Schizosaccharomyces pombe: one gene and its partner. The protein of the gene in region 1 purifies or fractionates together with the protein of each later gene. This does not show direct contact. Each region holds a gene or a part of one and is shown on either strand. Other genes may lie near its edges.

Region 1 (6,307 bases):
AAAGAAGTTTCTGTTTTTTGAATTATTTTGAAGAAAATTATTTGTATGTAAGTTTGTGATCGATGGATAGTCATCATATGATGGAAAGATCGTTAACCTTTGAAAGAAACTATTCTCATTTATTTATAATAATATTTATAATAAGAGATATGAGCAGCTCGAACTCCCGAGTGCATGAGGAACAGCCTCCAACAGAAAATCGCAGATATGCGAGACCTACTGCACAAATGAATCGAGTAATTGAACAACAACCAAGGCGTCGCGATTACTTCCAAAACAATGACAACTCTGGTCGCAGAGGTTATAATAGGCATGAAAACAATGGTAATGCGCAGGATGTGGTACGTTCACACTATAACGCGCGTCCTGATTTGGGTTATAAAAAACGACAATTTTCTCCTATTATTCAACTAAAGAGGTTTAACAACTGGATCAAATCTGTTCTCATACAAAAATTCGCACCCCATGCTTCTGATTATCCTATTTTGGTACTAGACATGGGATGTGGAAAAGGTGGTGATTTAATTAAATGGGACAAAGCTGGCATTGATGGATATATTGGGATTGACATAGCTGAAGTTTCCGTAAATCAGGCCAAGAAGAGATACCGTGAAATGCATGCTTCTTTTGATGCACTATTCTACGCTGGCGACTGTTTTTCTAGCTCAATTAACGAATTACTTCCCCCAGACCAAAGAAAATTTGACGTTGTTTCTCTACAGTTTTGCATGCATTATGCATTTGAAAGCGAAGAAAAGGTTAGGGTCTTGTTGGGGAACGTTTCTAAATGCCTTCCTCGTGGTGGAGTAATGATAGGAACGATTCCCAATTCCGATGTAATTGTCAAACATATTAAAATGCTTAAACCAGGAGAAAAAGAATGGGGAAATGACATATACAAAGTCAGATTTCCTGAATCACCTCCACGCTCTTTTCGACCTCCGTATGGAATTCAATATTATTTTTATTTAGAGGATGCTGTTACCGATGTTCCTGAATATGTAGTTCCTTTTGAAGCCTTTCGTGCTGTTGCCGAAGGATACAATCTTGAATTAATATGGGTAAAACCTTTTTTGGACATCTTAAATGAAGAGAAAAACTCTGAAACGTATGGACCCCTAATGGATCGAATGAAAGTCGTTGATAATGAAGGACACCGTGGAATTGGTGGACAGGAAAAAGAAGCAGCAGGATTTTATTTAGCATTTGCCTTTGAGAAGAGGGGAATTTAGTCTTTTCTTTCCTTATCCCACTGATTCACTGTGCAGACCGCATTGTAGAAAGATCTTTCACGCTCGAAAGATCAGTACAGTGGTAGAAAAAAAGATGACTTTAAAAGATGTAGATTAATTTTTGATGGCAATGACTTTTATTTATTTATTCATTTTTATGCCTTTATTCTTTCTTTTTCTGTTTTCATATATTTTATACATAAGTAACATGCTCTCTTTCATTCCAGCTTAAGCGAATAAATAAAGTATGCTCCCAGGCATATTTCATCAAATCAGATTGCCCCAAAAATTGCCTCAAATATTAAGCGATAGCTTAAATCAATGCACCTGTCGGTATTCAACTACCAGCATCCACTGCTACTCTTCTTCCATTTTTTCTTCAGCAACAGTCAAGTTAAAAAACTGGAACGTTTTAATTGATTTGAGAGAAAATTTCTTATGGAGTAATCGATTGATTAAATGATAAATTCACATTGCGCCCTTTTTTAGTCTCGATTGATTAAATGAGTCATCTGCTTTTCGCGTATTACCTTTGCAACGACATTCGCTCATTCCAAAATCTACTGAAGCAAGATGATTCAAAGGTGAAAGAGCCTAGAAAGGGTTTTTCGGAAAAGAGCGGACAAAAACTCCGTATCAACCAAAAAGATCGATACGGACGCACCGTGCTGCACATCGCCGTTTCTGAGAATAAAAATTCCTTTGTTAGATCTCTTTTGCAGCATAAAGGCATTGATGTTTTTGTGCAAGATGAAGAATCTGGATATACGGCGTTGCATCGGGCAATCTACGTTGGCAACTTGGAAGCAGCGTCTTTGCTTTTATCAAAAGATCCCTCCTTCAGATCATTGCGTATTAAAGACAAAGAAGGTCTTTCTCCATTTCAATTTTTATCACGAGTCCTTTCAAGCACTATTCATCCGGTTCTTGACTTACCGATAATAGGAAATGAACTTTATGGCTTTGGTACTAACGTAAACAATACGCTCGGAATAGCAAATGGGAAAGAACCTTCATCGCCAGAAAGAGTGTTTTTACTGAAAAACCAAACAGAGTCTCCCACATCAGGTCAACTCTTTTCCCGAGACAAAATCCTTGATGTGCAGGCTTCCAAATTTCACAGCGTCGTACTAACGGATGAGCCGTCGCAAAATGTTTACGTATGTGGTATTGGTGCTGGAGGGAGAATAGGTTTTAACACGGACGTTCAATATAACTTTATTCCTATTCCTGGTATCATTCATAAAGTTATCCAGATTTCTGTTAGTCATACCCATTCACTTGCTCTTACAAAGTTCGGAAGTATTTATTCGTGGGGAAAGAATGGTTCTGGTGAACTGGGACTTTCTAATGACGAACTGAAAAAGGATGATCCAATTCAAATTACCCCTAGGCGTATCTCTGCATTCAAGGATTATCAGATAATTGGAATGGCGGCTGGAAAAAGTTATAGCGTTGCTTGGACTGACACTGATATTTACAGCTGGGGGTTAAATAATGGCCAATTAGGTATATCTGATCATATTTCAGTTGTTTCTACTCCAAGGAGAGTTGCTGGCTTATTATCGCCTGTCATACATGCCGTTTGTACTACTCGTGCTACGATATGCCTTTTACAAAACAACAGTATAATTGCCTTTTGCAATTATAATCAAGTGAAATTGCCATTCAACGTTGACTTTGGTAGTTCGTTAAAGGTAACTAAGCATCCTCTTTCCCTCACCAGATTTAACGTTAGAAAATTATTAGCTTCAGAAAACAAACTAGCCGTGCTTACAGAACTAGGCGAAGTCTATGAATTTGATATGAAGCTTTTACTTGATCGTGATTCTACCTCTTCCAAGAATTCCACACGAACTTCATTCAAATTTACTCCATTATGGATTTTTGAATCTTCAGACCTTGCAGCTTTAGATATTGCGTGGACCGCTGATAATTCTTTAATACTATGTACTAGAAATGGCACTTGTTGGAAACGGGAGTTAAGGTCAAAAAAGCGAGAAAAGTCATCTAGTAGCCCGTATTCTAGAGGACCATACAAATATAATAGAATTGAAAATTTACAAATGGTTGTTGGAGTCCGTGCGAGCGCTTCTGGATCATTTTTTGCAATTCGAAATGATTATCTTCCACCGCCAATCTACAAGCCTTCGAATATGTTAATTGATCTTTTGCGCTCACTACTTCCCTATGACCACCTTTTACATGTAAGACAACCACGTTTGATTCCTCCCGAAGATGAAGACGGAGTCCCTATTTTTGACGAAGACCGCGCTGCATCCAGCAATGAGATGCAGCTACTTTTTGAAGGATCTATACCGATTCTTACTAGTTATGAAAATTATAAGCAATCATTTTCTGATGTTACTATTTATTGTGGTACTTCTATGTTCCACTCACATAAGTTCATATTGTGTGCTCGATCTTCATTTTTGAGAAAATTATTGCTACAAAAAAAGAAATCGAGTGTCTCCAACATCATTTACATTGAAGAAATCACTCAATCTCATTCAACAATTAGAGTTGAAGATATTCCTCCTTTAGCGGTTGCTATTCTTTTGCATTATTTGTACACGGATACATTGCTTTCTCCATGGCATCTTGATTCACGCTTTTCACCTTTAAAAGAAAACCTTTCAAAACTTGCAAACTTACTGGAGTTACCTCATTTAGCGGAGGTTTTACCGTTTAGTGTTTCCCGCCAACCTTTGCTTTCTTTAACGAATGACATTCTGCAACTATATAATAATTTTTATGTCTTATGCGAAGAAACAATGGATACAGTAATAAAGCTTAAAGATGGAGAGCTCAAGGCACATGGTCTTTTTTTAAGTCTCCGCAGTGAATACTTTAGTTCTTATTTCCAATTTGTTTCTATGGAAAGCAATAGTTTTGACATCCCAATAACCGTCAATTTGTCTCATTTGACTGTTGAGCATATGTCAATTGTTCTTCGTCATGTATACAGTGACTTAAAAGTTGAGCTTTTTGACGATTTGAAAGAATCCGATTTTCATAATTGGTTGGAAACTATGTTCGAAATTTTGTCTATTGCAGACGAGCTTCTTTTTCTTGAACTAAAAAGCATAGCCCAGCAATCCTTACTTCGCTTTTTAAATTTGAAAACTCTACCTACTCTAATGGATCTTTCACTTAGTTATCACGCTGAGGAGCTTTATTCACGATGTATTGATTATGCTTGTCACAATATTGAATTCTTTTTGGAAGCAAATCGTATAAGTGAATGGGATGGTTTCCATTTAAAAAAAGTCGCTCAACGTTTAACTGAATTGCTTTCTGATCAACGAGTACATCTTCCTTCTAGCAAGATTGCTAATAGATTATTGATAAGAGATCCAGTGTTGATGGAAAAAAGAAATTATGAGCTTAAAGTTCTCAGAGAATACTTGTTTTCCCAGGAAAGTTCTCAATTATGGGACGATTCCCCTTATCGGTCTATTTTTGAAGATCGTCGATGCAGCACTTCAGCAGTAATTTTAGAATCTGGAATTGTTCCTTCAAGTAATCAAAGTGATTCATTAAATAAGGAAGATGCTGAGGAGAAGTCTCCTAAACCAAATGTTGTTAACGTTACGAGCATTACAAAGACAGCAGGAGCTTCTGTTGAAATTCAAAACAATATAGAGTCTGCTTCGTCAGGAGGGGATAAAACACAATTAAATGGTCCTGGGGCTGATCAACCTGTTACTGCAACAATTACTTTTGACAAAACGAGTCCATGGAGGAATAGGGAAAATCTTTCTCATAATAACAACACTACTAGAGCTAGTCTTAGAGAATTGCTGGAGCAAGAGAAAGCTGATGCTTCAACTACTACGGTTTTGTCTGATTCTAGATTTATGAAAGCTCCAACTAAAAAATCCCAACGTGAGAAAAAAAAGGAGCTTTCAAAGCAAGTGCCTATTTCCAAAACAAATGTTGGCCACATCGATATCGAGTTGGGTAAATCGAATCACTCAAACCCTTGGTCTGTAGCAACACATCAGAGGGGCAGTTTTTCGTCATCAACTGGAGTGAAAAAGTCATTTAATGGTATTCTTAGAGAGGCAGCTCGAGAGGAAGGTTCATCTCAAGTAATTTATCAAGAATCGAAGAAGCGCATTTCCAATGGTTCTCCAACTAGTTGGAACCTACTTACTAAACCATCTCCCCGATCTGCTTCTTTACCAAAAAATAGCCAACCTTTATCGATTTCGGAGATTATGACTGAGCAGAAAGAAGAAATTGAGAGTCAAAAGAGGAGATCATCTTTTAGAAAAACAATTGAGGAGATACAACAGGAAGAGGAGTTTCAAAAGTGGTGGGAGGAGGAGAGTTTGAGAGTACAGAAAGAACTTGGAATCCTTAAAACTGAAAGAGATACCTCTACGAATAGAAAACAGGGACAAGCTTCTAAACAACCTCAACGAAGGCACAGAAAGGAAAAAGATTCCAAAGTGTCAGAGTCCACTGCGGAGTTTAAATCTCTTCCTATTGATATACCAAGGACTACTCACAAGAAAGGAAAAGCACGTGCAGTCAAATGACCATAACAACGACTATATACAAAAAATTCAGGACATTAATTTATTCAACTTATGAAGAGATACTTTAATAGATATGTATAAGAAAAAATATTTGCTACATGGTGAATTATTTATTAAGCTTTTGTTTCACGATACCAATCACACATTTTACATACGCTAAAAATTCAATATTTGAAAATAATAAAATTGAATAGGAAACTTTGGTCATAAAGAAATTCAAAGCACGTACGGAATGAATACAAGAATTCGATATACACGGTAATTTATAGTGTATCAAGGACAGATCCAATTGTAGTGGAAAAATTATAGGAGAAATGATGCTGCTTCGTAAATTCACTAGAGAAACCGTGACAAGCAATTACAAAACGAGCAAAGATAAGGTTTGTTTCCATTCACCTAAATCATCGCAAAATAGCCAGAGGTCAAAACGGAAAGGGCAAGAACAGCATAACCGGTACGATAGACACCCTTTAGACTTAACTCCTTGGTGGTATCCCAGATCAAGTGACGAATACCGTTAAAAATGTG
Region 2 (3,370 bases), on another chromosome or scaffold:
TTAAAGAGATGGATATATACACATTCAATCACATAGGGATGCTTTTTACAGTCTTTATATAAAAAGTATCCGACTTTTTAGTATCACTTAAAAAGTCAGATGAATGTAGGTCTCTCTATAGTGGGAAGTGACGAAGGCGACAGAAACATTAGTATTAGGCGAATAAAGAGTCAAAGTACCACGAATCTTTTTATGCCTACCCACTATTAACGAAAACACCAAGTCTGATAAACTGAAGGTTTTAAACATCAGATGGTAATTTTCATAAAGCTGTTTGTTCTTATTTAAAAGTTAACTGAATTTGTGAATTGATTGGCAAGTATAGAAAATCCGTGCACTACTGAGCTTTTGTATCTCACCACTGACATTCTTCTCGAAAGCAATGATTCGCATTCTGTCATGCGATATGCAGCATAATGTCTGTATGCCTATTCAATTTTAACAATAGCACTTTAGAAGTATGCCATTTCTTTTGATGATTTAAGTAATGTTCTAATTCTTCAAGTGTATACAAAGTAGTGATATAATGTCTTAATTTATATGATGTGTAGTTAAAAACTGTCTGTAGGAAATTTTATTTGACAAGCAATAAAATAAATTGATATATTCGTCCACTATCTGAGTAATTGGAGTAAATAAATATAAATAACAATTCAAAGTCACATGGAAACTTAAACTAGCCACAAGTAGTCATGATTTTAGGAAATTTTAATTGATTCATGTCATTTCATTAATAAAACGCTCTGCTCCATTGAAATATTTTTACCAACAAAAAAGTAAGTACTTAATAAATGTTATTAATGACCTGAGATAAAGTTAGTAAAGTAGGCTCGTCTTAATATACCCTACCATAACGTTGGAACTCCCATTCACGATTGTCCAAAGGACAAACATTCCTAGTGTTTAACCATCTTGAGATGCAGTGAAAGTGAAATGCATGCTTTTGTATTTGTTAAAAACAGTCCTGAGCTAAGAATACGAAAGAAATCGAATTAAAACTTACATTACAAGTTCCCCATGCCACTGTGCACTCTTGAGCAGCAGCAGAATCGGTGTTAGCTTGACACTCAATACATAAGTCCATAATATGATTTCTGCAGATAGCACAGTTATCTACAACAATGTCCCATTGCCATAATGCTACAGCATTCCACTAAATTGAAGGTAAGCAATATGAATCAGAAGAACTCATAAAAAAAGCAAAGAGAGTAAACTAGTACTTAAGTGTATGCTTATTTTAAAATAGCAAATATATCTTTGGGTATTAATTTTCACAGTTTACTTTGCTTTATGGCAAATTTGATACACATGAAGAACATGATCATAAAAATAATGACGAACCTTTTTAATTTCAAATCGAGGAGGTTTTTGTTCAATTTCCACCTCCTTCTTGTCTATTTGCATTTCATCTTCCATTGTGATGAGTAAAATAGAGCAAAGCCGCTACTTCGTTTTAAGATGAGATGTTTAAGCGGTGTGATAAAGGGGGTTGAAAATTGCAGCTTCGCTAAGCAATACTCAAACATAAGATAATTTTTGGAGTAATGTAATAAATTTTGCTAAAACACAAGTATTTAATATAATAAATAATGGATCATGGATCTTTCAATCGCAAAATGCGTACTCAAAAAATGAAGGATGATTATTCATCTGCTGTTTCATGAGTGTTTAGCACTATATCTATTTAGCTACATTAAATTACTCAGTTTGTTTAAATGTGTAAACTTTTAATTCTATGTTACATGATGACAATACAAGTTTCTTAGATATTATTTGTATTATGTGTGCTCGTTAGACATCTATTGAATAAGTTTTGTATATAATATCGAAGTACTGAAGACGGTTTCCTACAAACGTTTCAACCAAAATTAGTAAATAGCCCTATTTATCTATAATATTGTACCTTCTCTAGCATATCAAATTGAACACATTCAGCGAATTTTTCTGAAGTAATAGAGCTATTTTTTATTATTGTATTTCATCCAAATATAAATACCTTGGAAGTGAAATATACAAGGGAAGTTAATTCCAAAATTGATTTATTTTTAACTTGTATTGACTCTGAAATTCAAGACTGATTGAAAAAAGCTTTATCCATACAATTAATAAATAAACCATCTCAATATAACAATCGTAGAACAAGATGCAGTTAATGTTTATTTTAGTCCAGCATATTCGTCTTCTGATTACAAAAGTTTTCAAAAGTAGGTTGCACTATTTGTTGTAAATGGTCTTTGCTAGTATGCAAAATTAATAATAGTTTACAAAACTTGAAAAATAATGAACACAAGAATATCATTTCTATAGATCGGGTGTATCTTTACTAGGATTTTAATTTCCGATTATACACAGCTGCTGCCTCCTGTGGCTCATTTGATTACTATATTATTGCGATCGTATAGTCATTTGTACTAAACAAACCTCGTATATGGCTTTTTTTTGTAAAAATTTCTACTAGTTTGACTGCTTATATTTTGCTAAAAATGTCTTTAAAATGATCGGCATCAAATTGTATGGTAATTTCGTTGAGTAAACATTCGTATCTACAGTGATTTCATCGTCAACATCGGATTTCCTTCAATTTTTGAAAGTTATCATCAAAGAGATTTAAATGATAGATGGAATATATTAAGCCGAAAAATCTGGTTTTCAAGTTTACATCTGTTAGCAAATTTTAAAAGGATCTACAGCTAAGTACCGTGCTAAGAGCATGCCAAGGGGTTTTGAGATATCTCGCTAAGTTTAAAACCAAAATACTGTGTAGCTATACAATGCACTAAAACTGGCAAAGTATAATAACGCGGAAGCTACGTTCAAACTATTGGAAATGTAACCTGCCTAACGAGACGCAAGGATATTTGCATTGGGGATTGTCAGCTTGAAGTCGAGCTGAATGAAATGCTAAGCTTAAAATCAAACAAATGAAATTTATAATTAACTATCTTTATGCAAGCCTGTGCATATTAAAAATCGACTAATACAAAAACAAGAAACAAATTGAACTTGTTAGTAAAACGAAAGAGAACGGTAGCGATACTTCGTTGAGGCAAGCATGTTTTGGAATAAGTAGTTTTTTAAAAGTTTGGAGCCTGTCTACAAACATTTTGCAACATGAAGAGATCATAGCCTACGGATCTTGAATTTGAGGAAAAAATGCTAATGTACTTTTACTTATTTACATCGCTCTGTCATTAATTTTGTCTTTTTTTTTTTTGTAAAAATACTCAATTCTCTAAAATATATATCCCCGTCAAATGCCAAAAGAGCAAACAAAATAAAATTGAATAAGTAAATAAATATAGCCTGTATGCAAGGATACGAAATTTTAAATAAATAAAAAAAAGCGCGGCTCAGATAAATTAAAGATATA

What was found. Proteins that work in one complex are often made in the same cells at the same time.
Region 2: the proteins of btb1 (region 1) and rbx1 purify together in Schizosaccharomyces pombe (affinity purification with western blotting, with the first as the bait; one study listed by BioGRID). This does not show direct contact.

Annotation. Positions count from the first base shown.
Region 1 is NC_003421.2:129,782-136,088, forward strand, and holds btb1 (BTB/POZ family ubiquitin-type ligase substrate adaptor Btb1), read left to right. Parts: upstream 1-1,613; 5' UTR 1,614-1,735; coding exon 1,736-5,779; downstream 5,780-6,307. Other genes in the region: mRNA 5'-cap (guanine-N7-)-methyltransferase Pcm1, read left to right, coding at 150-1,232; sdh3 (succinate dehydrogenase cytochrome B subunit), read right to left, coding at 6,176-6,307. UniProt on the Schizosaccharomyces pombe protein: Probable substrate-specific adapter of an E3 ubiquitin-protein ligase complex which mediates the ubiquitination and subsequent proteasomal degradation of target proteins.
Region 2 is NC_003424.3:1,573,456-1,576,825, reverse strand, and holds rbx1 (SCF complex, Cul4-RING and CLRC ubiquitin ligase ligase E3 subunit Rbx1), read right to left. Parts: upstream 1,482-3,370; 5' UTR 1,417-1,481; coding exon 1,342-1,416; exon of another isoform or gene 1,154-1,341; coding exon 1,004-1,153; exon of another isoform or gene 941-1,003; coding exon 850-940; exon of another isoform or gene 826-849; intron 806-825; coding exon 798-805; 3' UTR 519-797; downstream 1-518. UniProt on the Schizosaccharomyces pombe protein: Component of E3 ubiquitin ligase SCF complexes, which mediate the ubiquitination and subsequent proteasomal degradation of target proteins.